Linked DNA regions of Astyanax mexicanus. The protein of the gene in region 1 purifies or fractionates together with the protein of each later gene. This does not show direct contact. Links are inferred from orthologs where the notes say so. Each region holds a gene or a part of one and is shown in the gene's direction. Other genes may lie near its edges. The genes, in order: lrrk2, cdc37, ywhae1 and hsp90ab1.

The links.
Region 2: the proteins of lrrk2 (region 1) and cdc37 purify together in Homo sapiens (co-immunoprecipitation; 8 studies listed by BioGRID and IntAct, with this or other methods). This does not show direct contact. The link is inferred for Astyanax mexicanus from reciprocal best matches to the Homo sapiens genes LRRK2 and CDC37.
Region 3: the proteins of lrrk2 (region 1) and ywhae1 purify together in Homo sapiens (co-immunoprecipitation; 6 studies listed by BioGRID and IntAct, with this or other methods). This does not show direct contact. The link is inferred for Astyanax mexicanus from reciprocal best matches to the Homo sapiens genes LRRK2 and YWHAE.
Region 4: the proteins of lrrk2 (region 1) and hsp90ab1 purify together in Homo sapiens (co-immunoprecipitation; 6 studies listed by BioGRID and IntAct, with this or other methods). This does not show direct contact. The link is inferred for Astyanax mexicanus from reciprocal best matches to the Homo sapiens genes LRRK2 and HSP90AB1.

The regions. Positions count from the first base shown.
Region 1 is NC_064409.1:58,636,948-58,644,591, reverse strand, and holds the start of lrrk2 (leucine-rich repeat serine/threonine-protein kinase 2), read left to right. Parts: upstream 1-4,617; 5' UTR 4,618-4,894; coding exon 4,895-5,033; intron 5,034-5,291; coding exon 5,292-5,374; intron 5,375-6,311; coding exon 6,312-6,421; intron 6,422-7,041; coding exon 7,042-7,130; intron 7,131-7,644. Other genes in the region: slc2a13b (solute carrier family 2 member 13b), read right to left, coding at 1,021-1,180, 1,908-2,415. UniProt on the Homo sapiens protein: Serine/threonine-protein kinase which phosphorylates a broad range of proteins involved in multiple processes such as neuronal plasticity, innate immunity, autophagy, and vesicle trafficking.
Region 2 is NC_064428.1:42,797,366-42,804,892, forward strand, and holds the start of cdc37 (hsp90 co-chaperone Cdc37), read left to right. Parts: upstream 1-4,506; 5' UTR 4,507-4,648; coding exon 4,649-4,756; intron 4,757-7,527. Other genes in the region: probable serine/threonine-protein kinase nek3, read left to right, coding at 1,091-1,429, 1,697-1,945, 2,518-2,720. UniProt on the Homo sapiens protein: Co-chaperone that binds to numerous kinases and promotes their interaction with the Hsp90 complex, resulting in stabilization and promotion of their activity. Inhibits HSP90AA1 ATPase activity.
Region 3 is NC_064425.1:15,960,771-15,968,446, reverse strand, and holds the start of ywhae1 (tyrosine 3-monooxygenase/tryptophan 5-monooxygenase activation protein, epsilon polypeptide 1), read left to right. Parts: upstream 1-4,651; 5' UTR 4,652-4,902; coding exon 4,903-4,966; intron 4,967-7,032; coding exon 7,033-7,232; intron 7,233-7,325; coding exon 7,326-7,432; intron 7,433-7,676. UniProt on the Homo sapiens protein: Adapter protein implicated in the regulation of a large spectrum of both general and specialized signaling pathways. Binds to a large number of partners, usually by recognition of a phosphoserine or phosphothreonine motif.
Region 4 is NC_064408.1:85,811,810-85,818,846, forward strand, and holds the start of hsp90ab1 (heat shock protein HSP 90-beta), read left to right. Parts: upstream 1-4,036; 5' UTR 4,037-4,169; intron 4,170-5,641; coding exon 5,642-5,785; intron 5,786-6,297; coding exon 6,298-6,504; intron 6,505-6,654; coding exon 6,655-6,814; intron 6,815-7,016; coding exon 7,017-7,037. UniProt on the Homo sapiens protein: Molecular chaperone that promotes the maturation, structural maintenance and proper regulation of specific target proteins involved for instance in cell cycle control and signal transduction. Undergoes a functional cycle linked to its ATPase activity.

The DNA.
Region 1 (7,644 bases):
GGTCAGAAATGTCATGATCTTTCCTTTTTTATTTGTTTTTGTTGTGTTATTTCCTCACATTTTAAATGTAATACATTTACAATGTAATCTTACTGTTCCAGCTAACATGCTGCTATGTTGTTCACATGTGTAGAACAATGGCTAGGCGAGATCCATGTGGCTCTGAGTGGGTTTGTAAATGTGTTGTTACTGGGACCGGGTTGGGCTTCCTAAATGGGCCCCATAATGACAGTCTGCCTAAGTCTCATGTGGATCCTATCTAGGCCCCATATGCAGTGTACAACCCAGATGGGGCACATGTTTATTCTTTCTCCATCTTTGTTCTGATGTAGCCCATTACTGACATACATACAGCTCTTGAAAAAAAATAAGAGACCACTTCAGTTTCTCTGATTTTTATATTTATAGGTACACGTTTTTAGTAAAATGAAGATTGTTGTTTTATTCTATAAACTACAGACAAAATTTCTCCCAAATATCAAAAAAAGAATATCGTCATTTAGAGCATTTATTTGCAGAAAATGAGAAATGGCTGAAAAAACTAAAAAGATGCAGAGCTTTCAGACCTCAAATAATGCAAAGAAAACAAGTTCATATTGATAAAGTTTTAGAAGTTCAGAAATCAATATTTGGTGGAATAACCCTGGTTTTTAATCACAAAATTTTATGCATCTTGGCATGTTCTTCTCCACCAGTCTTACACAATGATTTGGATAACTTTATGCCATTCCTGGTGCAAAAATTCAAGCAGTTAAGCTTGGTTTGTGATCCATCCATCTTGCTCTTGATTACATTCCAAAGGTTTTCAGTTTGGTAAAATCAAAGAAACTCATAATTTTTAAGTGGTCTCTTATTTTTTCCAGAGCTGTATGTGAAAAAAACTTTCTAGTTCCCACTTTGGCTACTCATATAAGCATGTTTACTACATTGTTAACAAGGGTGTAATTAATCTATTTTTTATATAAATCAAAACAGCAAAACAAATGAAAAAAATATATATAAGCCTACTCATGTACATACCTCCATCCTCCATGGCTCAAGTAACTGAAAGCCCCATCCACCACACTGGCTATAAACTGACCGCCGGTGATAAAGAGGGTGTTTATGGTGACAAGTTGACCTCTGAGGTGAGAAGGAGAGACCTCAGCAATGTACACAGGCACTGTCATAGAAGCTATACCTGTGGAAATAAAACAGTATATACTTTTAAACTGAATTTTAAGACAGTAGGTCTACATAAATAAATTAAATGTCTACTACATCAATCTCCAAAAGAATCCAGGCTTCTAAATAGTAAAAATGACTTGCACAGGAATTCACTGCTTTTAGATTTAGATGTTCTAGAGAAACATAAATTGTGACAATGCCCAATACCAAGAATGGGCTAAAAGAGCATAATGCCCATCAGAATTGGTGTACAGAGCAGTGAAGCTGTGTTCTCTGCAGTGAACAGGAAAATAAAGGTGGAACTTTTAATCCAGAAATAATAATTGTATACCAATAACAGTAATAACAGTTATGTTCTTGTGGCAGAATGCAATCGAATTTGCACATGTTGAGACCCAACATGTGACGTAAACCTGTCCAACCTGTGCTGCATAACACTGATGGGGATTTGTCCTTTAGGCTCTTTTGTCACGCACCACAGATCAGCTGCTCACCATCCAGCCTCCAGCTTCTGCCATCTACCTTCAGTTAATTTTTTTTTTGCCACCATCACCACTTTTTTACTTCTTGTAACTGGTCAGAAAGTACAAACCAACTAAAAAGTCCTTTCAAACTGCAAAAAAATGGATCGTATTATTCATTTAAGACCAGCTGTTTTAGTCCAGAGCAAGGTAGGGATGAAAGTACTTTCTATAAACCACGTCTATATATATATATTGTGTTATTTATCTGGGACTTACCTATGCCAAGCCCAACGATGAGTCGCCCAACAAGAAGGACCTCTTTATTGGGTGACAGACTCAGAACCACGCCCCCGACTGAGAAGATGAAGCTGGCCAGCAGAATGCACAGTCTACGCCCCAGCGCTCCGTTCAGAAAACCCCCAGCCAGGGCCGCGACCGCCGCCGCCCCCACCGTGCTGGAGACCAGCAGCTCCTGCCACAGTGCGCTCAGCTTCAGCTCCTTCTTCAGCAGCAGCATGGCTCCAGACACCACCCCGGTGTCGTAGCCGAACAGGAATCCTCCCAGCGCCGAGAAGAAGGCCAGGAGGTAGACGAACCTGGCGGAGCCATCAGAACCTCCCCCAGCAGCAGCAGCAGCAGAGTTAGAGGGTCGGGTGTTGATGGACGGAGCGGTGATCAGACTGCGCTCTTCCTCCATCCCCCTCCCAGCGCTCATCACCTCCTCCTCCATGATCCACAGCTCCACACCACCATCCTCCTCCAAATCACAGAGAAGCACAGACATCCATTTAAAACAAGCACCCAGCGAGCCGACAACGCGAGACCGCGAGGTGAGGAAGTGTGCACAGATTAAAACTCTAAACCCCACTAAACTCCAGAGACACTGACATACAGACTGAAATTCAGCAGCTTATACAAAACGTAAACATCGAAACGTGGAGCACAACTCAACATGCGCACTACTCTCTCGCCACGCAGTGGGGGCGTGGTCACGAGTATGACGCCAATTAATGGGCGTGTAAAGACAGGAATGCTGATTTTCACATTAAAAAAAAAATCAAACACTCAAATTAAAATCTACGTAGCATGACTGAAACCCTTTCCCACACATACCCCAGTTTTAAAAAAAATCCTAATAGTCACTCGAATTAGCTTCTTCCTGAGTCTTTTCAACTCTTTCAGACACTGCATCCATTACAATGGACATAATATATTTGCTTTCATTTTTAAATGTTTTGTTGCACATAACATTAATTGAGAGATGCTTTTCATCAGAACAGACAAGAAACCAGCCAATGATCAAGTTTATAAAGCAACGAAACAGTAACTTGGACCCATCCACAGCAAAAACACTGGAAAAAAAAACTGTTTAGGGATGGTTTATGAAATAAAAAGATCAATAAGAATAAAAAAATATTACAAACAATGAAAATGAAATGTAAATAAAAAATAATAATTTATAATTTATTAAATATTTTAGTTAATTTAATTTATTTGCTTTATAGATTTTATAGTAGAATATTAGAGTCTTCTTTTCTGTGCATTACAGACAAAAAAACAGTATTCTTTCAGTTTTCCATCACTGGAAATTAAGGTCTGAAAGGTTTAAAATACAGGCGATCTGTGTGGAAGATCTACTGTACAGCTTTGTTAGGATAGTGTAACTTAATTTTAATATATTGATGTGAAAACACATCTAGTCCTAGCCTTAGGAAATTAGATTAAATGTAATTTACCAAATCTATGGTTGGTTGATAAAAGTAAAAAAATATATATATTTTTATAAAACCTTACATTGATTGCGATACATGATTGCAGACAAAATTTAGCACAGATCTTCCAAACTGACAACATTGAATTATGCTCTCTTTAGTTACATTTTAAAACAACAAATTGTGGAGTCACATATACAACTCGCTCCAACAGGCTTGTGTTAACTACACTGCAAAAAGTAGTTTTAAGGTTACAATTAAATAAACTGAATAAATATTTAATAAATCAAATAAATATTTGTCTTAATCATTATTTAATTCAGAGTATCTATTTGAGCTGAATAAGTCCAATTCAGTTGCTTGATACTGCATCAAGTATTTTTCAGGTTTTCCCTTACTTAATATACGGTCATAATACAGTGTAATAGCGCCACGCCGTGGGGACGAGACCATAAATATGACGTCGAGCAATGGGTGTGGTCTGACATGGAATAGCTCAGTTTAAGAAATACGCGATAGGCTAAATTATTTTAGAAAACATACAAACAAATAGAAATAATATTATAAGATATATTTTCTTACATTAACTAATGGGCGTTCTGCAATTTTACATATTTTAATCTGTGTGACATTCTTAAAATAAACTTATTTTTGTCGTTTTGAAAGACACATTACATTTCTGGACAAATAAATCTCAAAGGTTTGGTTTCTGTGTTCAGAAAACACAAGCCCGAAACCAGCGTGTTCTGCCGAGTTACGCTACCCATCAGTTTGTGCTACTTGGCTGCATTGCGCATGCGCGGACTCAAGTTTAGTATGTTTCGTGTGATTTTTAAAAAAATCATAATTCTGTTTTCTGGGGTGCATTATAGCTGCGTTATACAGTATTTCTGACGTGGTGCTTTTAGCCTATCGAAATAGCAAATCTCCTGTTTAGTTAAGCTAGCTTTACGTCCAAATATACTCTGTGGTAGCACGATTTGCGGAGTAAGCACAACTCGTCAGGACACCGGCACAATTTTTTCAATAAAAAAAATACAACCTAAACAGCTGACTAGCTATAAACACCTATATTTATATTTAGCTGTTAGATTAACTCACCTCTCGCAGTAAATCTTCTATTAGTTACAGGTCTTGGTGTTGGAGGAGTAGTCTGTGCAGTTCCCCCTCTTGCTCCTGCTGCTGAAGCTTCTTCCTGTTTGAAAGTTGCTCCTCCAGTCATATGACTCACAGGTCGCTTATTACTGCGGCCAGTCCCGCCTGAGGACTACAGCCGAGGAGAGACCGCTAAAGAGACGGGCATGCTTTCCTCACACGGCGTGGAGCAGAAGGGGAACTAAGCATGTTTCCACTATTTCACAGAGTTAGAGAGTCCAGCGGCGGCGGTAGAGACGCTCAGTGAAGTTTCCTCACGTGTCTGGTGTTGGAGAAAAGCGGGCTGTGCTGCGCAGTGGTGGCGCTCGCTGTATTTACACTGTGTTTAATGTGCCAGTGGAAAGGTTTTACACATGTGTTTAGTGCCAGCCGAGGGCCAGCACTGTAACCAGCACCATGGTGAACAAACAGGACCTGGAGGAAAGCGTGAAGAAGCTGTTAGTGAGGCTGAAGAACCTGGAGGAGGGCAAGCAGCTGGGCACCATGGTCCAGATCATGCAGGACCTGCTGTTCCTCGCTCACACAGAGGAATATGGTAAGATCATTAGCCAGCTAGCAAGCTATGGCCAGTGTAAATAAACATGCATGCTGGGGATTTAGCTAGTTTAGCTAGGTCATTTGTGTTGGAGTGTAGTCTATTAACTGGTCAATTCTCTCTGAGTGTTGTTATTGTTGCAGCAGGCTGTAGTCAGTAGTCAGTACACACACAGGCTGGGCTATATTTGAATGAGCTTCTGTCACTTGGGGGGATATTTTTGGAAATGTAAGCCCCTCTCTCCCTTCTGGTGTTCAGCTGCAGAGCTATTTGAGGACAAAAATGTCCATGAGCCACTGATGCTGGTGTTATCAACCTACAGCAACAGCAAAGTTCAACAGGTAAGAATCACTTCTACACTGCATTACATAAAATAAACAAATATTTTGACACACATCTACCACATTTAGCTTTGAGGATCGATTTGCACACACTGGTATTTATATCTCAGAGATAGTCACCTGAAATACAGCTCTGACCAAAAATTAAGAGACCACTTCAGTTTCTAAATCAGTTTTTCTGATTTTGCTATTTGCAGGTATATATTTGAGTAAAACGAACGTTGTTGTTTCATTCTATAAACATTTCTCCCAGATTCAAAATAAACATATTGTAATTTAGAGCATTTATTTGCAGAAAATGAGAAATGGTCAAAATAACAAAAAACATGCACCTCAAATTATGCAAAATATTAAAGTCTTAATATTAATAACGTTTTAAGAGTTCAAAAATCAATATTTGGTGCAATAACCCTGGTTTTTAATCATAATTTTCATGCATCTTGGCATGTTCTACTCCACCAGTCTTACACACTGCTTTATGCCACTCCTGATGCAAAAATTCAAGCAGTTCACCTTGGTTTGATGGCTTGTGATCATCCATCTTCCTCCTGCTTATATTCCAGAGGTTTTTAATTTGGTAAAATCAAAGAAACTCATCATTTTAAGTGGTCTCTTATTTATTTTTTCAGAGCTGTAGTTTTTTCAGCGACTTGAAGGAGTTCCTGGAGGTGCTGAACAATAGTTGCTGCTTTTAATCCCAAATCACTCATCTCAGTTTGGTTTAGATCAGAGGATTGTGGAGACCAAAGACATTTAATTTTAAAGTCTTTAATATAAATCTACAATGTAGAAAATAAATAAAGAAAATAAATAAATAACGTAAAACATTGTATGAGAAAGTGTGCCCAAATGTTTGACTGATACTATATATATATATACTATGTCAGCCATATACATAAAGCAACGTATTGATGGACCCTTGCCTCCTTTAACGCAGGTGGGATGGTCTCTACTGTGTCGTCTGATGGAGATCTGCCCTGCCACTCTAGACAAGCTGGTCAGGCCGCTGGGAGCTGGGAGTAGCTGGGAAGTTTTAGGTGTCCACCAGTAAGTATGAAACTGGCTGTTTATTTGCAGTGCAGTGATGCTTGTAATATTAATAAACATATAAGCAGCAAAGAAAGAATGGGCTCAAAGTTAATCATCCTAATTTAAGGGTGTACAAACAGTATGATTATTCTAATTCTTGTTTGGATGGAGTACAGTCTAAGACATTGCAGTGTTAAGTACAGGACATTATTGAGATATCAGTTTTAAATAAGTATCTGCTGCTAGTGGTATATTTTGTCTACATGTCAGACTATTGCAAAAAATATTTTGTATTGTGAAAACGTCTTGTGATGTTGCATTGTGTTGTAACCTTATCCTCCCATATCTCCCACCCTATGCAAAGGTACAGTAGAGTGTCAATACATACCTGTCCCTAGATATTTATGACGGAGCCAGAAACATTTTAGGGAGTTGACTGATAAGAGCTGGGAAAGAAAAATAATATAACTGAAAGTGAAAGTAGCCTTATTTTAACTTCAGGTATGTAATGCCTGTCCATTGCCCCAGTAAGAAAGTCTGAAAAACAGGTTAAGCTGAAAAACAGTGTTTATGATATGCTCCCAGTGTGTTTCTGAATGCTGGCTTTTGTGTGTGTGTGTGCGCATTTGCAAATCCAGGCAAATTCTGAAGGTGCTGTTCGTGCATAATGAAGACTGTAAAGTGGTAATGATAGGACTGCGGGTTCTAGCCTTGCTGTTAAAGTCAGGTAAGCCTGTTCTAATCAGTCTGTTTTACTAATTGTTCACTTATTATTTTTTTTACACAGCATTTTTTAAATTTCCAGAGAAGACTGTTATGGACAGTGAAAATTGGGCCAATCACAGATTATAAGTGATGTTTATCTGGAGTCTGTTCCTCCTAGACTGTATGGACTCCCTATATGCTATTTATAGATGTGTGTTATATTATAGTGAAGATTTATGGCACTAAGGAGAGATATGCGGTTATTACTGCTGATCATGAGTGCGCAGCTGTACGGCCTCTTCTGTATTCAGTCTCAGTCTGGGTCATGCTGCACCATGCTGCACCAAGTTTGCTGTACCACTGCCCTACTTAATCAGGTTCAGCTGCTTGTCTTCTACAGCAAACACCCAGGCAGGCTACATTACTGTAAATCGGTACTTCCTTATGTAAGCTGCTTTTAATGCACTGCATTAACTTAATATCACACACAAAACAAATGAGTGTGTGATAGTAGACAGTGTGTTAGTATAATGAGT
Region 2 (7,527 bases), on another chromosome or scaffold:
TCTATAATACGCTATAATGTTCATATGATCCACACACTCATTCTGAGAGACTGTAATACACTACAGGAAGTGTAGGGGGTGCTCTATAATGTTCATATGATCCACACACTCATTCAGAGAGACTGTAACACACTACAGGAAGCGTAATGAGCACTCTATAATGCTCTATAATGTTCATATGTTCCACACGCTCATTCTGACAGACTGTAATACACTACAGGAAGCGTAGGGGGTGCTCTATAATGCTCTATAATGGTCATATGATCCACACGCTCATTCTGACAGACTGAAATATATTACAGGGAGTGCCGGGGGCGCTCTATAATGGTCATATGATCCACACGCTCATTCTGACAGACTGTAATACACTACAGGAAGTGTAGGGGGTGCTCTATAATGCTCTACAATGTTCATATGATCCACACACTCATTCTGACAGACTGTAATCCACAACAGGATGCATAGGAGGTGCTCTATAATGCTCTATAATGGTCACATGATCCACACGCTCATTCTGACAGACTGTAATACACTACAGGAAGTGTAGGGGGCGCTCTATAATGGTCATATGATCCACACGCTCATTCTGACAGACTGTAATACACTACAGGAAGCGTAGGGAGCACTCTATAATGCTCTATAATGTTTATATGATCCACACACTCATTCTGACAGAGTGTAATACAATACAGGAAGTGCAGGGAGCACTCTATAATGGTATATAATGTTCATATGATCCACACGCTCATTCTGACAGACTGTAATACACTATAGGTAGCGTAGGGGGTGCTCTATAATGCTCTATAAAGTTTGTATGATCCACACACTCAATCTGACAGAGTGTAATACAATACAGGAAGCGCAGGGGGCGCTCTATAATGCTCTATAATGTTTATATGATCCACATGCTCATGCTGACAGACTGTAATACACTACAGGAAGTGTAGGGGGCGCTCTATAATACTCTATAATGGTCATATGATCCACACGCTCATTCTGACAGACTGTAATACACTACAGGAAGTGTAGGGGGCGCTCTATAATGCTCTATAATGGTCATTGTGATGTTTTGGTTGTGGTTTCTCTGCAGAGCGTGCGGACAGTGTGGTGATAGTTCGTGATAATGGTGATTGGTCAGAAGGTGAGCAGAGGAAGCTGAAGTGTGAGATTAAGAATGTGGGTCCAGTCAGTAATCTTACAGTGCAGTGGACCAGACTGGACCAAAACCAAACCAGAACCATCAGGGAGTCCAGGAATTTCACCATTTCTAGTAGAATGGAAGAAAAGGGGGATGTGACGGACACTCTGGAGGTTTGGACCAGTCCAGAAGAAGATGGAGTCCAGTATCAGTGTTCGGCTCTACTGGACCTGATCCAGTTCAAACAACAACAAGTGGACGAATCCCAACCCTTCAACATAACCGTACTCTGTGAGTTCACCTGTAAACCAATCTGAATTTTTACTGTAGTCCAGTCCTGTTCCTTCAACTTACTTCATTCTTTCTCTGCTGGAAACATTTGGGGAATTTAGCGAGTCAGCTAACGTCAACTAGCATGGAATTCTTTAGGGTTTGAGTTATTTGCATACAACATTAAATCAGAACACAGAGTTGTGTTGTCATTGTTGTGCAGTTTAACTCTAATGGTATGTCTCAGAGAAGTAGCAATTGGTTCTTTCTTTATTCTTTTCCCATCAGATAAACCCATCATAACACGGCCGTCTGCTGCCACTGTATCCAAAACTGCGGGCGACGCGCTGACGTTTTACTGTTCGGCACGAGGAAAACCGAAGCCTCAGTTTACCTGGACCACAGGTAACTCAAACATCACGCACTCCCCCCTCCTCAACATCAGCAACGTCCAGTCAGAACATCAGGGAAATTACACCTGTATCGCCTCCAACAGCAAAGGCTCCGCCTCCGTGACGGTGACGGTTACCGTTTCAGGTGAGTGAAATTCAGGGTAAACGTCCATCACATGTACAGGTGTAGTTACTGCAGGGCTGATGCTGCATGTTTCAGATTTTGCTCCCCCAAAATCAAAGTGAATCCTACCATTATCACGTTTTTTCACTCTCCTGAAAACATTAATCCCATTAGCAACTAATAACACTTTGCCCTTATTAACCAATTAACCAATTAACCGCATCCAAGATCCTGCAGGAACCTTCTGAGCTATCAGTCTCAATCCCACTATAGCTTTATTTATTTCAGCCAAATTTCATGTAAATAGAAATTATATTTCTGGAGAAAATGAGCCCTAAACATTGTTTCCCAGCAGTGATCATTTTCTTAATAAACAAAAATATTTTTTCATGACCTTTTTTCATACAGAAAACAAAATGAGAACTAAATAAAAAGTAACAAGTAAAAACTAAGACTATGACATGTATTATGTTTTTATAAAGAAATAAAATTTTATATTTCTCCAGTGATCAGAACATATTACTTAAAGATTAGAACAGCCTAAACATAAATCACACAAATCTGACCTAATCTCCTGATGTTCCTTCATCTAGTGCCCTCATCAGAAGACAACCTGCCAATCATCGCTAGCTGTGTTGCGGTTGCGGTGGCATTGCTGATAGTTGGACTCTTTGTTTGGTACTGCAAGCATTACCGGCACACACACATGGGCCGCTACATCCTGAGGAACCTGGCGTCCCGGCGGCACAACGCCAACGTGGCCCATTGCGACTCTCAGACCCTCCAGTCACACTGATGTTCTGATGTTTTGAAGTTTTCTGAAAAACCCCACGCAGCACAGCGGTCTCAGATATTCTAGCCCGCATACCACTGGTGGTCACAATTATGAACAGTGAATAAATGGTATTTTTATCTTCAGTAAACTGATCTGAGAGAAATAGTTTCCATATATATGTAATGTGTACAGGCTGCAGGTGCTAATCTTAGCTAATACACAATACAGCACAATACACCTTCTCATTGAATGGATTATGTATTTAGAAATAACTGACCTACTACTTTACACATTTTTTTTGCATTAAAAATAATAAATCTAATAATGGTTGATTTTCTTTGCTGTAAATGTGTTTGTTACACTGGAGGGAAAAACCTAACAATGCATAATAGACTTTTTTATTATAGTTATTTACAGGAGCTGTATGTAATATATTTACAATGTACAACTTTATAAAATTATGATGTGTGATCAGATATTAAGAAAATATGATAAGTTTAAGCTTAACATCAGAGCTTCAGTCAGTATATTCTTCTTTAGATTGTTTTTACTGAGCAGAAGTCTGTACAATGTAGCATCAGAGGAGTGGTTATGGGTGTGGAAACACAACACTTTCCACAATGCTCTGGCACTGGAAAACTATTTAACCCAGTGAATGGAGAAGGCTAAATTGTCCAGATCAAAGACTGAGCTGAACAGACACATAGTGTCGGAAAATGTCTTGAAGAATCTTTAAGAAAACTATTAACCTTACAAGTGTTCTACTTTTAGGTTCCTGATAGAGCACTTCATACGAAATTATGTCCAGAGGCATTTGCAAGTGATGAAATTGTATGTAGAACTGCAAATGTATAACAATCATACACATGAGTTCTATTTTTAATTACTGTAATCATATAATAGAGATTTAACAGTATTTTCCCCTGATAAAACAGAACCTAATGAGATGATAATGAACTCAGGAAGAACTCAGGCTTTAAAATACAGCAGAACCTGAGCTGTGGAGGAAACACCTTTAACATTAGTGTTGACACAGAGACCACAGGATATGTTCAGAGGTCCTGTATAGTCCAGGCTTTGCTTGGGCCAGAACTGATCGCTCAATGAACCAAACAATGAACCAAGTCTCAGAACCGCCTGCAGATTCTGCATCTCCGCTCTGTAGTACTGAATCTCCTGAAATTCTGTTCTTTCTTTAGTCTTTAGCCACCCCTAGTGGAGCAACTTAATCATTACAGCCTCTTTCTGGTTTACTATAAATACTACTGGTTTATTATTAATCAGATTATTAAGCTGATCAGTTTAATTATTAAACACTGTACACGTGTGTGTTTGTATTTCAGTAAAATAAGTATTTATGATATATGTAAACCAGAGTGATTTATAATTCAATAAATGTTTGGTTTTTATACCTCAGTACTCCTGCCCCTGCACACACTTTCATTTTATACCTCTGAATTTCTAATTCCTCTTATATGTAAGAATATGTTTTAATCGTATGTATAATTGTATTTTTATGTATACAATATATTGTTTTATATACATGAGTATATATATATATATATATATATATATATATATATATATATATATATATATTATTTATATTAGAATTGTGTGTGTGTATTAGATGTTTAGATAATTGTGTATAGATTATGTGTATTGATTATGTATTGTGATATGCATGCATCGATTACTGCACCGTGCGTTTCTATTGGACTGGTGACACTGTTGCTATGGTAACCGCTGCAGCTCTCTGCGGTAACACAGCCGGAAGGGGCGTGGTGATCCACCTCGTTGCCCCGCCCTCTGGCGCCGGAAGTGTTGGAGAGTTCCAGAAGGCGCGTGGGGTGGAGAGGAGAGCTCTAGAAGAAAGAGGAGAGCGCGATTATTGATTATTATTATACAAAATCAATCTGATTGGGAATTAGAGGAGAATAAACAGAGCCATGACAACTATCGATTACAGCGTGTGGGATCATATCGAGGTGTCTGACGATGAGGATGATACACACCCCAACATCGACACACCGAGCCTGTTCAGGTGGAGACACCAGGTAACAACACACTTGATTCTGTACACAGGTTCCACCTTATACACCTGTTATATAGAGGAGATCTGGCTGCTCTCTGTTTTCTGTTCTACTGTAATACTGGACCTTTCTGTGTTTTACATTACTCACAAGAGAGACCAGTTATTTGCTGCTTCATTCTCTAAATCTTTAAAAATCTACCTCAGTATCTGCTGTGATCATCTATGTTCTATATGTTACATATCTCTGCACCTTATTCTCTCTTAAACACTGCACTGTCCTGCCTGTTAAACTGTGTCGTCTGTTGTATTTATTGTAGTGTTATAGTTTTATGTTGCACTATCATAACACTTTTACAATTTTATGTTGTGCATTGTATTGTTGTTCCATGTTGCACCATGGATCCGAGATCAGTAAGTTTCTTACACTGTGTATCTGTACTCTTTAGTCTTTTGACTTGAGTTTCAGGCTAAAACCCACAAATACATCAAGCCTAAATCCTGCTTAATACAGAAATATATATAATATATAACAGAAATATATAATATATATATAAACCCATCTGAGTCATTTATCATCACATCATGTTTAAACCAGTGTAAATCATTTCCTTTTCGCCGTGGAACAATTGAAGTATTAAACTGTAATAATGGACATTTACCTTACCTGTACAAATCCGTGTACATCCACTGCATGGTCATTGTGCTCAAACAGAACTTACAGTAAATTAAACACATCTACATCGATTATTTAACTAATAAGAATATAAGAGGTAATATAGTAATAGTGAGTTATGTGCTTTCTGGCTGGAAACACCCCGATTAGCTATAAAGCTAAAGCTTAGTCTCAAAGCTTTGAAAGTTAAAAACCGAAAAATAATTGCAATTTTTGCATACGTAAGGCAGTAATACTAATCAAAACCAAACACGGGTAATTTCGTTAAATGGGGTTAGTAGAATATAGCACATTATAAATCAAATAATTAGTAAAATACTGGGAAAAAAATAATGCTGACTGTTAAACTAATGCAATTAAATCACAACCCCGTACTGACCCAGAGCTGTGACATGTCTATAACGCCACACTAGATAAAGCATTAATCACTAATGTAATGAGCTATATCGGGTTACTGCGCCTTAAATTATATAAATTATACAATATTAATAAAATCTACCTTAACAAACGCTAAGCTAAGCTAGCTTTGAGTGAACAGCAGCAGAGGCTAATTTCTTCTCAGAACTCAAACTCCACTATTGCTGAATTATAAATAAGTTAAACTTAATATACAGATTAATACACTAATGTACAGATAATTAACCGTTTATATGGTCAACAGAAAGACTGATATCACAGTAAATCCTCGCTGTTAGCCGCTGATAGCTAACCAGGCTTACAGTGTGACCGGTGGTGGAGCTAGCTTAGCTCATTTCCCCTCAGAACCGGAGCTAAATCTCACTACTGTCGCTTTTAACACACCAATAAAGCATTAAAGCATTTTAAATCATTAACCACGCGCTTTAAATCAGTTCCGCTGATTTCAGAATCTTACATTACATATAATAATAACCGAAAAATAATAAACACGGGACATTAGCTGATGCTAACCGCTAGCCTAGCTGACTCACTGAAAACTCTATACAGGCTAAGCTAAGCTAGGGTAAGCTAACTAATTCCTCAGACTGATTCTGACTACAATTTGTGAAAAACTCGAGTATTTTTCAGATTTTAAAGCAGCAGGTCGCTGATTTAAGAGATTAAATAAACACTGAAACGCAGTCGAAGCTAATTTACCTCAGAACTTTAAACTTAAAAACAGCAGTAAATGATCTGTATCTCCTAACGGGGTTAAACTCGGTTAAACCCGCCGCTTTATCTCAACTATCTCAATTTCTAATAACGGATTTAATTAAATAAAACAAGAAGATACGTGATTTAGATAATTAGCTCTTTAGGTTAGCTGGCTAACCCGTTAGCGGTGCTGCTGGATAAATTCTGCGTTTATATTACATTATATTATATAATGTTGTATTATTATATTCAATAATATTGTATTGTTTATATTATATTTTAATATATTGTATTGTTTGTTGTGGTTTAATGAAATCTGTTCACTGTTTCGAGCTGGACATTCTGTGTTTCAGCACAGCCAAATCAAATTAAATCAGAATTAACAGTGTTAATTAACAGGGTTAATTGTGATTCAAACACTTGTATTTTAGATTAACTGACACTACAGTGTTGTAAAGATGGTAGTATGTCATCTGTTACTATTGTGCCTGTGTTTAAATTTATCTAAATTATCAATAAAATGATTTAATATAAAAGTTATATTTTCTGTTAACAGGCGTGGGTGTGTGAGGAGAAGGTCTATATACATTTTCCTCTTTTAATGTATCCTCTTTTTAATCAGTTGATTAATCTTTAGGATTAGGGAGTGGGGTTCTTTGCTGGTGTTGGTAAAAGTATAGACTGGCTAAGCTGGTTAAGCTTCAGTAAGCTAGTGCTGATCAACTTATTATTTTAGAACAGGGTCCTGTTATTTTTTGTGTAGGAAATGCATAGATTTCGTTCATTGCTTCAGGTATAAATTCTAAATCCTTTATTAAATCTGCATTATCATGATGAGTCTAATAGGAGTTCTTGTTCTTAAAGTTAATGTAAATTGACTCTGGGTATAAAAAAATTCAGCTTTAGCTTATTGTTAGTTTTATTGTTGTAAATATTTTGATTATTCAGAATTACTCTGTAATGTCTGTATCATTGACAGTATTGTATAATATTTTTGTTAGTCTGCT
Region 3 (7,676 bases), on another chromosome or scaffold:
TTTTCCTGTCTATCCGCTCATTGTTTTCGTGCCATCATGTCGTTCATGCCAATATATACACTATCTGCAGTAATTTCCTTATTAGACCTTATGCAACCATTTGAAGTTACTTAAGTAGACACTAAACACTACGGACATCTCTATAGGTTATCCTAAGCGGAACTTTGGAGTGTGGCCTAAATATTGTGAGTTTGAGAGAGAAGAGATATCTGCTTGGACTCTAAATGTAAGCAGTGGGGTGTTGCTGTAAGGGACTGTTCCTCTGCATTTGAGTAGCATACACTACTCATACTGATTTGCTAAAAGATGACTGCTACAAAGGGGATTAGTTTGAGCCCTTTATCACACTACAAATCATCTGCCATGTGATTCCATAAAAGGTGTCTGAAGAAATACTGATCATGCTCATATTAATGTTTACTATTACATGCTTAATTTGTATTCCTTTAACCGTTTGTTTTTGTGCACACAGTAATGCTTCAATTGACTTTTGTTAGTTAAAGAAGTGTCCCCTTCATTTCCTGTTGGTCATTACAGAGAAGCTATTCTGGGCAATGAAGACTTTTTTTTTAATTTGGAAGACACCAATCAGTTTTTATAAAAGCACACATAATGATATATTTCCACTTGTGTGCCTGCAAAAAGAAGTCTTTCATTGGGTTTAATGTATAAAAACATTGTGCTTACAAACCTCTCTACAACATCCACCTAAAATGCTATCATGTGCAGATGCTTCAAGAACAACTCACTTTACTACTTTGATATACACTGTAAGATTTGATCACTACATGTAAAGTGTTAACTCAATGCCTCAAACACCTCCCTATCTAAAACTCTTGCACATAACAGTAGCCTTCATCTACAATTGTTTTATGTGTCTGTGCTCCAGCTGAATTAGTGTTTTTCTTTTTAAATAATGTTTGTGATCATGCATCACTGCTTCATAGTGGGATTTTCTCCTAGGAGGTGATATAACACAGTTCCATTAACCAGCAGTTTGCCTTTATTGCAGTTCAAAAACTGAATTAGATAATGTCTAATCTAGTCTGACAACCAGATTGGGAAGTTAAAAATACTGTACTAGAAGGACTTGTAAGCAAGATTTGTGATTTGAAACATTTGTAGTTCATATTTAAACATTAAGTTGTGGGTATGGGAAAATGTATGAATCTGAATTAGGTCGTGTTCACATTACAAAGCTGAAGTGACTCAAAATCAGATTTTTTGCCTGTATGTGCCAGATCAGATTTGAGTGTTTTTGTTTTTTTCCCCCTCTTCTTCCTTCCTATTGTTTCTCTATATGTGGTACTTACTGGATATATATCCGGTATGTTGGAACGTGAAAAATGGAACATTCAGATCAGATTCATATCTGTAGTGTGTACACTTCATCAGTCAGCACTGCTGTTAGTTGAATTCTGTCTCCCAACCGGAATCTGAAAACGTGCGTAAATATATCTTTGTGCACATGCTTGTTGGTTCAGGGACAAATTCATTCACATTACAAATAACTACAGATCATTTACATTTATGAATGTGAAGCATCGAGACGGCCAAAACCGATTTGAGCAAAATCAGAACTGATTATTGAGGCATGTAATGTGAATGTTGCTTTGACGAACAAACCCATAACACTAATGGAACTACCATCAGAAAATAGTTAAGACTACACTGATCATGTTTGCAGTTTTTTGAATGGCTATGTTTTACGTTCTGTCACTTGAACAAGGACAATCACCTGAAAGAATTAAGCTTCTATCATGCGGGAAATATGAAGGTTGGGTATGAAGTAATAATAACTAGTCAGGACAAGCAGCCAGATTGTCACTCAAGTCCTGTTATTAACGGGCTACTTGTCCATTGAGCTATGAAACAAACAAAAAAATAAGTATTTCCAATTTCCAAACGTTTAAAAGGCCAAATAAAATGAATATGAACATTGTTAAATATAACACTACAGCTTCAACATCATTCCAAAGTGTTCTGTTCTCTATCGCAAGGTAAAAAGGATAAAGTCTTACTAATGCACATCATAAGTGCCACTTTAAGCTGTGTCTAGATTGACTGACTGAGAAATGTAACTTTGCCCATGTTTTTATTTTTATTATTTGTACTTAAAGTATTATGTTTACTGTCTAATCCTACAGTCCATTAGTGAGAGTAATATTATATATTTTTTGTGATGTTCATTTTTGTTCACATAATGCCCTTCACAGAACAGCTTCAATATGGGTCAACAATTTTTTTTTTCTTTTGGATCAGCCTGTTCCTGTACATGAAATGAAGTTAACTCCTATAGTAAACCACTTTAACCCCTTTAAATGCTGAGTTTGTCTGTGATTTTTAAAGGCATGCCAGAATAATCACTTTTATCTGAACCATGTAACATCTCCAAAATTAGAATTCATATAAAGAAATATCTGTAACATATATGTATGGTCATGAACTGTTCATACAATGCAATGGATCGCTTTTTGGCCAATATCAAAACCCATAATTGCAATAAATTATATTAGTAATTTTAAGACTGTAGGAATTGTGATAATTTAATAGCATAATAATACAAATACACCCTTTAAAAGAGCAGTTATTTTCTTAAGGTGTCAGATTATTTAGTGCATGTAAACACTCATTAGCTACTGAAATGTTTTCTACTAAATCATTATACAGCTTAATGGATCTATGGCTAAAAACAAAACACAGAAAATGAGTTTTGCTACAGAGAAACCTGTCTCGTTATCTGATGAACATTGGGTGGAAAGATAATGCTAGACAGAATGAGCTATTGTAAGGGGGCTTTTTGTTCATTTTGTGAGCTGTCTGGTTTAGGTTAAAGTAGTGACAAGCTTTGTCTTTGTAATGACGCATGTTTTAAATGCAAATCTGGTGTTCTCTTTCAGCAATTAAAAGAAAGAGAGGTAAGACGAGGACTGTTTAGCTGTTCCACAAATAAATGCTCTAAATGAATCTTTTAGAATAAAACATCATTAATTTTACTCAAACATATACCTAAATAGTGAAATCAGAGAAACTGATTCAGAAACTGAAGTGGTCTCTTATTTTTTTCAGAGCTGTATATGTATATACAGGTCCTTCTCAAAAAAATAGCATATTGTGATAAAGTTCATTATTTTCTGTAATGTACTGATAAACATTAGACTTTCATATATTTTAGATTCATTACACACAACTGAAGTAGTTCAAGCCTTTTATTGTTTTAATATTGATGATTTTGGCAAAAAAAAGTAAAGAAAATAAATTAGCATATTTCATCCAACCAATAAAAGAAAAGTGTTCTTAATACAAAAAAGTCAAGCTTCAAATAATTATGTTCAGTTATGCACTCAATACTTGGTCGGGAATCCTTTTGCAGAATTTACTGCTTCAATGCGGTGTGGCATGGAGGCAATCAGCCTGTGGGACTGCTGAGGTGTTATGGAGGCCCAGGATGCTTCGATAGCGGCCTTAAGCTCATCCAGAGTGTTGGGTCTTGCGTCTCTCAACTTTCTCTTCACAATATCCCACAGATTCTCTATGGGGTTCAGGTCAGGAGAGTTGGCAGGCCAATTGAACACAGTAATACCATGGTCAGTAAACCATTTACCAGTGGTTTTGGCACTGTGAGCAGGTGCCAGGTCGTGCTGAAAAATGAAATCATCTCTATAAAGCTTTTCAGCAGATGGAAGCATGAAGTGCTCCAAAATCTCCTGATAGCTAGCTGCATTGACCCTGTGGACCAACACCAGCAGCTGAGATGGCACCCCAGACCATCACTTACTGTGGGTACTTGACACTGGACTTCAGGCATTTTGGCATTTCCTTCTCCCCAGTCTTCCTCCAGACTCTGGCACCTTGATTTCCGGATGACATGCAAAAAATGAGCAACAGTCCTAGTGCTGCTTCTCTGCAGCCCAGGTCAGGAGCTTCTGCCGCAGTTTCTGGTTCAAAAGTGGCTTGACCTGGTGAATGCGGCACCTGTAGCCCATTTCCTGCACACGCCTGTGCACGGTGGCTCTGGATGTTTCTACTCCAGACTCAGTCCACCGCTTCCGCAAGTCCCCCAAGGTCTGGAATCGGCCCTTCTCCACAATCTTCCTCAGGGTCCGGTCACCTCTTCTCGTTGTGCAGCGTTTTCTGCCACACTTTTTCCTTCCCACAGATTTCCCACTGAGGTGCCTTGATACAGCACTCTGGGAACAGCCTTGCTTGCTTGAGGGTGTCAATGATGGCCTTCTGGACAGCAGTCAGGTCGTCAGTCTTACCCATGATTGCTGTTTTGAGTAATGAACCAGGCTGGGAGTTTTTAAAAGCCTCAGGAATCTTTTGCAGGTGTTTAGAGTTAATTCGTTGATTCAGATGATTAGGTTAATAGCTTATTTAGAGAAGCTTTTCATGATATGCTAATTTTGTGAGATAGGAATTTTGGATTTTCATGAGCTGTATGCCAAAATCATCAGTATTAAAACAATAAAAGACCTGAAATATTTCAGTTGGTGTGCAACAAATCTAAAATATATGAAAGTTTAATTTGTATCATTTCATTATGGAAAAGAATGAACTTTATCACAATATGCAATTTTTTTGAGAAGGACCTCTATAGTATGTGAAATTAAATTGCATTAAGAGAGAGCTGCATGTTGCAGTATGTGTCTGTAAACTTTAGGACAGGTAGGGAGGGAGTAAGTGCTCTAAGCAGGGCTGCTCCCTCCAGCCCTCTGTTGTACAGGGCTGAAGTTCCCGGATGAGCCTCTCTCGCCATTTTTGCCCCAGTGGCGCCGGCGGACAGCGGGGCTTCAACACGGTTCAGGCTGCAGCTGCTTCTCCTACGAGGGCCTGCCGCTTTTACACACACTCCTTTACCGAGAATCCGTCGCTGAATAGGCTCGTGTCACACTTTCCAACATGGCTAACCGGGAGGACTTAGTATACCAAGCCAAGCTCGCCGAGCAGGCGGAGAGATACGACGGTAAGCGGTGTTTTGTGGTGAAAGCTGACTGGGCTAATGCTAATGCTAACGTTTACCGTTAATACTGCGGGCTAGCGGGTCTGTCTGTGTTTCTTCGGGGCCAGGTTTAGGATTAAAACGGGGAGCTGGGGGTGAGAGAGGTGGATAGATAACTGAACTGCCTTCCGATAGAGGTGCTTTAACTTGGCGTTAATTGTATATAGACCCAGTGAGGCTAATTCGACCGTTATTATTCGCTGAGGGACGGTGTGAAGATGGAGACGGTACTGGAACCGACAAAATGGCGGACAGTTATTGGGTGAGGCAGGCTGTTGCTAGCCGAGGCAGGGAGCAGTGGAGACCTCTACACCCCGGTTGACCCCGATAGCTTTAATTATAGGTTACGGGTAGCTTGACCACACGAACCTGCAGGTGTGTGCGTGTGATGGAATGACTGCCTGGCCGCTGTAAAACATCGCAGGTTAAGCTAAGCTAGCCTATGTAACCTAGCTTACCGTAGCTAGCTTGTAGCGCTAGTTACGCTGCAGCAATGCTGGTGCAGACCGGCTAGCTAGCGTTAAATAGCTTTCATAAAGCCTGCTGACTTGGGTGGCTATAAAGACAAGTGATTAATGGTGCTAATTTAGCTAGTTAAGCACCAGAGGGTGACCTAAACTGACCCAAAATGGGAATTGAACACTGTAGGTTTAGTCTGTAGCTAGCTAACCTAATGTGCCTGCTGTAGTAGGCTAGCAGTCATTGTGTAAACCCTCCTCCTGTGAACCATGTGAATGCCGTGTTCAGCAAAAGCTAGGTTAGTTTAGCTAACCAGTTAAATAACTAGGATTATACTCACTTCCCCAGTACAACAGTTGTTGTTGCCATGAAAATAGACATTAAAGATTACTTAACATCCTATATAAAGAGTCAACAATGTACTCGAGTGTATAGCTAGTCGTTTTTTAGCAAGTCATAACTCAGTTTTTTCCTTAGTAATATTTTAAATTTAAGTTTTAAAAGCTTTACAGATTTATAAAGACACAATGACTTGGCATTATTACAAGGACAGCCTATCCTTAATGTGTTTTGACTAGTCATATGGGAATTCACTATCTTATAACTTTAAGCTCTGGAACAGATTGAGGCCACTTTAGTTCTCAATCAGTTTCTTTGATTTTGCTATTTATATGTCTATGTTTGGGTAAAATGAACATTGTTGTTTTGTTCTATAAACTACGCATCACATTTCTCCCAAATTCCAAATAAAAATAGTCATTTAGAGCATTTATTTGCAGAAAATGAGAAATGGCTGAAATATCAAAAAAGATGGAGAAGAAAACAAGGTCATATTGGTTTGATGACTTGTGGTTATTAATCTTCCTCTTGATTATATTCCAGAGATTTTTTAATTTGGTAAGATCAAAGAAACTCATTTTTAAGTGGTCTCTTAATTTTGTTGCTGTATACTCCTTTACCTGTAGGTAACTACACTGTTATTCTTGCTAGTTAAAATGTATAGTATTACATGCCTAGGATTTATTACTAATCAAAACTATATTAGGAATATTTGTCCTTGTCAATTTAATTATGGATATGTGGCCCAGGACTTATAACAAGTAAAAATTACACTGTGGATATTCAGATATCTTCAATTTCCACTAGTATTTTTTTTTTTTTACACAGAGAAATATTTAGTGCTAATCAGTGGCAATATAGCTATGACTAATCAAAATTATACTAAGAATAAGTAATCTTGTCAATATGTGTAGTTAGTATGGATTTATAGATCTATAACTCTGATATCAACTTTCAAAGCTTACCCCTGAAATTATATTTAGAGTGTATACTAATAAAAGCTCTAGTACATGGATCAGTAATTTGAGTGAGTTTTTACTTTGACTTGTTTGCTGAAGTCATATTAAACCAAACAGCTTCTACATCATATGTATTAAATGATGGTGAGAATCTGCATTCACTAATTGTAGAAAGTAGAAAACGTGTCTGTACCTCAGTGCTTGGCATAAGCTCTCTGTGTATAAATGTGTTTGAGTGAGAAACTGCTAATTATTTGCTTTTGGATTTTGCAGAGATGGTTGACTCCATGAAGAAAGTGGCTGGCATGGACGTTGAACTCACAGTTGAAGAAAGAAATCTGCTATCAGTGGCGTACAAGAATGTTATTGGTGCACGAAGAGCATCCTGGAGGATAATTAGCAGTATTGAGCAGAAAGAAGAAAATAAGGGTGGCGAAGACAAACTGAAAATGATCCGGGAGTACAGGCAAACGGTAAGGCGTATGCTCCGCCTGACCCATATCTGATAGTTTTATATTGACAGTATGACTGGTTCTACATCTCAGTCTCCCATGTGTCTTGTTCAGGTTGAGACTGAGCTGAAATCAATCTGCAATGACATCCTTGATGTTTTGGATAAGCACCTAATTCCAGCTGCTAATTCAGGAGAGTCCAAGGTCTTCTACTACAAAATGTATGTAGTCTGCTGTTTCTCATATGGGGGTGTTACTGAATTAAATAAAAACTCTTTAGATTTTATGGTCTCAAAAAAAAATACATGAAAATGCACATTTAATTTTAATGTTAATGAGTAATGTTTTTCAGTGCCACCAGATTGTATCTTTAAGAGTTTTTAGTTGTATTTGATGTGAAATGTTTGACTACTCAAAATGAAAGTAAAGAATGACCACAATTCCTGGCTTGTGAATGTCATGACC
Region 4 (7,037 bases), on another chromosome or scaffold:
GATTAAAAAACCCACAGCATTTAACCCTGAACAAATCAGTCACTGAAATTAGTCAGAAAAAATATGTTATACATTTCAATAATAATCCTTATATTTACCACTGTACTGTATTTTATAAATAGAGTTTAAAATGTATGTAAAATTATAAGGTAAACAAGATTAATTAAACAAGTAAACATAACGTGTTGTTTGAATGAAAGTTTTTATCAATAAAACATAACTTAACTGTGGTTTATTACATCTGTGTTCAATTTCTAAAGCTTCACCCAGGTCTAATTACTGTCACACCTGTTTTCAATCAAGAAATCACTTAAATAAGACCTGCCTGACAAAGCCAAGAAGACCAATAGATACTCAAAAGTTTAGAGATTTCATACCTCAAACTGCTGGCCTCATTTGCCTCAGTTAAGGTCAGCGTTCATAACTTCACCATAAAAAAGGAAAAAATGACCTGCATGGCAAAGTGCCAAGACAAAAATGACTGCTGAGCAAAAAGAACATTAATGCTCATCTTAAATTTGCAAGAGAATTTGGCGTAAAAGTAACACAGCATAAGAAAAAAATCATACCTACAGTGAAACATGGTGGTGGTAGTTTGGGGCTTTTTTGCTGCTTCAGGTCCTGGAAGTTTTGCTGTGATAAATGGAACCAAGAATTCTGCCATCTAACAAAAATCCTGAAGGAGATGTCTGGCCTTCAGTTTTTCTCCCTTATTATTAAAAACATTAACGTTTTTCAAAAACTGCATTTTGTGTTTACTTGTTTTTTGTTGGGTAATATTTAAATTAGTTTTATGATCTGAAACATTTAAAAGTGACAAACATGCACAAAATTAAAAATATGAGGGAAGCAAACACTTTTTTCACACCACTGCATTTATCTGACCCCTTGCTATGTACCAAGTATTTCTCAGCTTGCATTGTTTACAGAAACCAACAGTCAACATGCAAATCTAGGCATTTGGACCGCTCTTTCAATGTATTATTGTATTGTTTACAGCTGTGGTGCAGTTTTATAATGACTATTAGAATCATTATACTATACATTATACTATTATACTAGAGTTTAATTTGCAATAATTTTCTTCAAAATAAAAGTTGCCTTTTTAAATCAAATAACGTATAAATAAACAACAGATATGTGTATTTTAACGCATTAGAGATATAAATAATTTATTTAATTTTGACCTCATCTTATATTATCTCACAGGAAAATGCGTATTGTTGTTCCCCTCTGTGAGACAATATATTAATACACATAAAAATATTAAAATAAAATATTGTGTGATTTTGAAGCATTAATTCGTTTTTTTGGTGTCACTTGAATATTTATGAGATGATGAGGTCCAAGTTCAGGTAGGGAACTCTTTTATAACTAGGCGTTATTTTATTAGGAGTTTATTTTCCTCCTCGGTGAGGAACTTTTAAGTCGGTAAATCTGGAAGTTGCGCCGGAGAGACGCGTGTTCCTGACGGCTGCGTGACGTCACTTTTAGGCGGGTTTTTCATGGAAAGTGCTAGAAAGAGCCGAAGCACCGCCGCCTCGGAGCGCTGATATCCCTCCGTGACAAAAACGAGTGCAGCGGATCCTTCGCTTCTTTTGTGCGTTTAATCGTTTCTTGCGTGCCACCCCTTAGTTATTTAGTATTAAATAAGACAATACAAGAATATTACTTCCAAAAATATATATTATTACTATTCGTTCAGTCTAACCACTCATATTATTTAGCCTAGGTGAATCTCATGCTGTACAGAGTGGGGTATATTTAATTTACTGCAGATCTTATATAATTTATAGTATTGTAATCATAAATCGATAATGTGTGGATAATAGCTGCTCTTTATATGTTATTTATAAATATTAAAGTAGACATTTCCATGCATCTTAACACAGGGTTATCAATGCTTTATTATTATTATTATGTTATATGAAAATTATTTTTTTTAAACAGTCCTACGTATGGACACTAATATAGTAGTACTAAAATAGTAGCTGACACATTATAAGATAACTTCTGACCTGAAGTAAAGATGCAGGAATAAATAAGTAAATTAAAAAAGTTGGCAATTATGTTGCACATCCAATGAGAGCTGTTATACCATTAAGATCCCCTCTTATGGTTTAGGGAGTGGACCAAACCATACCCAGGGTGGCGAAGGTTAAGGGAGGGGAAATCTATTTTTTTTTTGTTAGAGCCAAAAAAAAAATAGTAACTGTGTGTCCCAGTATCCACAATAGATATGAATTTAAAAGGAAAGCAACCAGCAGGCCTGTTTAGGAACGTTGCAAGAAACAACCCTGGTTGGTTGGAAAGGACTGACCATGATTTCAGAACCATATCAGACAGATGTTTAGATGTGTGTTATGTATGATATATAATTGTGCTTATTTATTATTTATTTATATTTAAGTCCAGTCCAAGTGGAGAATGTTTGGGTGGCACTGGTCTGCTGCAATAAAATATAGCTAATAATAGAATATTATTCATATAATGTCTGGCATGCTCTCTATTAGGATTAGCCCTCTTAATGTCAATTTCTCAACAGTAAATTACACTTTTTGTATTAGTATTGAATACATGAAAAACTGCTTCTGAGAAAGAGGACACTAACTAACTATTTATGTTATATTAACTAAAAGAACCTGTACAGGCTAACACAATTTGGAAAATTGTGTTTCTCTGGCTGTAGCATCACAGGGGATCAACCAACAATCTCCTGTTGACAGGTCCAATGTGTAGATGGCTGCAATTGGGAGCTTGAACCTTATATAAAGACCAAATAGGCTGATGTGTCTGTGTGTAAGGCAAAACTCAAAGACAGAGATATGGTATTTTTAATGTTATAGAAATTATTGTTTAATATTACATAAGCATGACAAACATTTTATGTTTGAACAACTTTTATTTTGTAATACTGGAGAACTGCCTATATGGGTGTATAAAAGTATTAATGTTTACTTGTGTTCAGGTGGCACAGTGTGGCTGAGAACATAGTGTCTGTATGGCGGGTATCATGGACCCTGTCGTTGTGGGTTCAAACCTTTTAAAGGTAAACAGCAAAACTGACAGAGTTGCTGCTCACCTCCAAAACATCATAGGTGAACTGGGTATGCCAAATCATGAACGAAAGTGTGTGGTACTGGCCTGCGGTCCAGATGACCCTGACCAGAAACAAGGGAATGAGAAAACAGGAAGGCACCCTGAATGTCTGAAATTAAGTATGGCATCATTACCATCTTCAGGTGTAGTTTGTTGGGTGAAAAATGCTAATAAATAACACTATTGCAACTTAAGGAACTAGCTGTTGACATAAGGCAGTAAGACATCAAGGCAGGGGCATAACCTCCGACCCATTAAAAAGGCACGATTTTAAAACAGCTTAGATTTAGATTTTTACCATTTTTTTAGCAGTTTTCCGAACCTGGATTAAACCTAGTCTTGGACTACACAGCATTTTGAATAGAGATTCTACACTGAAAGGAACATATTGTCAAAGACTAGGCTGGGAAACTTTATTGTATAGCAAAGCCAAGCTAGTTGACATGCACGGCCAGCATAGGATTTTACCTGATTCAACCATATTGACTAACTGAAACCAGCTTCCAGCTAAAACGCAGCTTTTGTAAATGTGTCATTATGATTGGGAAATAAACTGAAATGATGCAAAGCTAGTACACAGGCTAATATCCCAAAACATTCAATTTTATTAAGGAAATACAGTCAAACAATTCAAAACATTTGACTGACACTTCACACATATAAATTTGCAGTTAAATGTGAATAAGATATTAATATATAAACTACAAATATACAGTTGTTTACATTACTATAACAGGCAAGTGGATAATCTGAATTAAAAAATTAATGTGTGCGATTATAACAGCACATTTATTTTTCAACAGAACGTTTATTTATTCAGAATGTATACTATAACAATAAACATGTCTATTCTAATGTCTATTAACATCATCATTAGAAAGGTTAACTTTGCCCAGTGCAAACAGAACACAGTGTAGACCCAGCGTAGACCCAGCCCAGCCCGCGGAGTGATACGCCGCATGTTCGACGGTTACATAAAGATACGCTGCTGCGGCGCAGCATCACTGTTGGAGGAGATCTGAAGGGTTTGGCAGCATTTATTTCAAGAGAAATCACCGAAACTAATCAAGGTGAGTTCTCCCGTTCACACGACGCGGTTGAGTCTCGTGTTCTCTTCTTTAAAACGATAAACCCGGCAGTGTTGCGGCCTCATTGTGTTTATTTAGACAGATGAACGGCTGTGGAGGAGAGCCGCTAACAAAGACTCGGAGCAGCGTTAACTGAAACTACAGACCGGCGGAGCTCAGCGTTTCAGCTCCGCTCACCGGCCAAAAACACTTAAACTCGCTTAGTTTATCGTGATTCTGGTGAGACACGACCTCTGACAGGTTTATTTGGGTGTTTATTTTAGTAAATTAGTTAGTGAGTTGGGATTCGTCGTGATGAGCTGTGGTTACCCGTTCTTTCAGCAGGTGCAGCGCTCGGGCCGGGGGAGTTAAGCTAGCGCTAGTTAACGGTGGATTTAGCTGACGGGTGGAAGGTTACTGTTTCTATAGTCGTGATGAGGCTTCAGTAATACAGCTTGGTTAGCTAGCTAGCTAACCTAGTTAACTATTACTTCTGTTATATAATGGCGTTCACTAATGTAGGTGAAATAATAGGCCCCTGAACATTAACCGTAACTCTAATTATATGAGCCGTACAGCGTTAGCTTCTCTATCTGCTAGTTAACGCTAAGCTAACTAGCGTTAACTTAATTTCAGGCCAACCAGCCTAAACACGCGCTAGCTAACTAGCTAACTGACGATTTAGCTAACCCAGCTTAGCCAATCTAATCAATAAGCTAATGAAGTTACATGGAACGCTAAAATGCCAATTTTCAGCCACAAAACACCAATAAATTCTGTTTTAAATCCGCGTGTAAGATCTGAACGTTAGCTAAAAGCCATGTGCTCCGGCTTGAAGGACCGGTTTCTCCATTCGTGTCTAATGTAACTTACACTTTAATCACACTTTAAATCGTGTAAACTCACTAAGTTAACTGTCTAATGGCCGTATTTTTAGTTTAAATTAACGTGATCTCTCCTAGTAAAAGCCAGAACATAAATATAAAACTCGGAGTTTTCCGGCTCTCGGCTTTCTTCGTCAAGCACGTGTCTCCTCCATTGTACGCTGGTCCGGTTACGCCATGTTGGGTAATTGAATGGGGGCGGTCAAGAGCAACTTCAGTTCAGGCTTTAGACGAGTTCAGAGTTTTTATCGAAGCAGTTCCAAACAAAAAAAATCCATTTAGGAGTAAATAGTTTTCTAATCCATACTCCATAACGGTATTTATGACGTTAAATACGTAAGTTTTAAAATTAGTCTATGATTCTAACAAAAGTTCTGTTCAGTGATAGTCTGTCACTTACACTGTTATAATCCTCTAAATCTTAAAAGAATTCGGTAGGGTTTTTTCCCCACAGACTACAGTTAGAAAAAAGATCTTCCAAGTTAATACCCCGAGTCACTTGGAGCTGTTCGCTATGCGGAAACTGAACTGAAACAGAAAGTGAGGAATATCTTTAAGGTGGTGTGACTCAGTGTTATTTCTCTTCTCCAGATGCCTGAAGAAATGCGCCAAGAGGAGGAGGCTGAGACCTTTGCCTTCCAGGCAGAGATCGCTCAGCTGATGTCCCTCATCATTAACACCTTCTATTCCAACAAAGAGATCTTCCTCAGGGAGCTTATTTCCAACGCCTCTGATGTAAGTGCTAGTGTTGATTTAATATTTTTTATTTATTTGATTTATTTATTAAAGCAAGTTGAATTTAATAGAACACTGAAAACAATAGGTGGATTCTGTGAAGTTTGTACATACAGAATTTAAAATTTATTTTTAATTTACTTTAGCGCTTTATAAAATGCACAAAAAAATAATGCATAATGCAGCTATATTTATAAAATAGTTATGCTATATGTTAACACCAGTGGCCAGATTTTTATTATTGTCAAGGCTAGGGAATTGCAATTTTATACAGAATTATTCATAATCAGTTGGTGTATATTACGAAGAAAAATGTTTTACTATATAAGCTTGTACCATAATATATTCAGTAAGTGTAATGTTAGTCATCGAGTACTGTAATACTTTGGCTGCAGAAAATATTTCTAACAGATATTAATGCTAAGGTTGAGTGTTTGTTGATGGAAGCTAAACATTTTAGATTTTTTACATTTAAAAAAAAAAAAAAAATCACCTCTCCCTCTTCCTTATAGGCCCTTGACAAAATCCGATATGAAAGTCTGACTGATCCATCTAAACTAGACAGTGGGAAGGACCTGAAGATTGACATCATTCCCAACAAGCTTGAGCGCACGCTGACCCTTGTGGACACTGGAATTGGTATGACTAAGGCTGATCTCATCAATAACTTGGGTACCATTGCCAAGTCAGGGACCAAAGCCTTCATGGAAGCTCTTCAGGTAAACAAATGAGGTGTTCTAAATGAAATCCATTAGTTTTTGCTGTATATTAAGTATGTTGCCTACAAATGGTTTAATCAAATCACATTTACCTAGATTAAAACTTTAGTTTGACTGCATATATATTCATTTTTTCCCCCTTTGTTTCAGGCTGGTGCAGATATCTCCATGATTGGACAGTTTGGTGTGGGCTTCTACTCTGCTTACCTGGTTGCTGAGAAGGTGGTAGTGATTACCAAGCACAATGATGATGAGCAGTATGCCTGGGAGTCCTCTGCTGGTGGCTCTTTCACAGTCAAAGTTGATAATGGTAAGTTTTGGAAACTTGCCTAAATTACTCCTTGATTATTTGGATGAAGGGGGGGGGGGTGAATTTTTGTTAATGGCATCCAAGCAAAATACAGTAAACTGTAAAGAACAGCAAGCAAATTACATTGAGACTTTAAAAATAACTGTATTTTGCTTAACCTTAGTATGTGCATGTGTATCTTACCCCCGTGTTTTGTTTACAGGTGAGCCCATTGGTCGTGGAA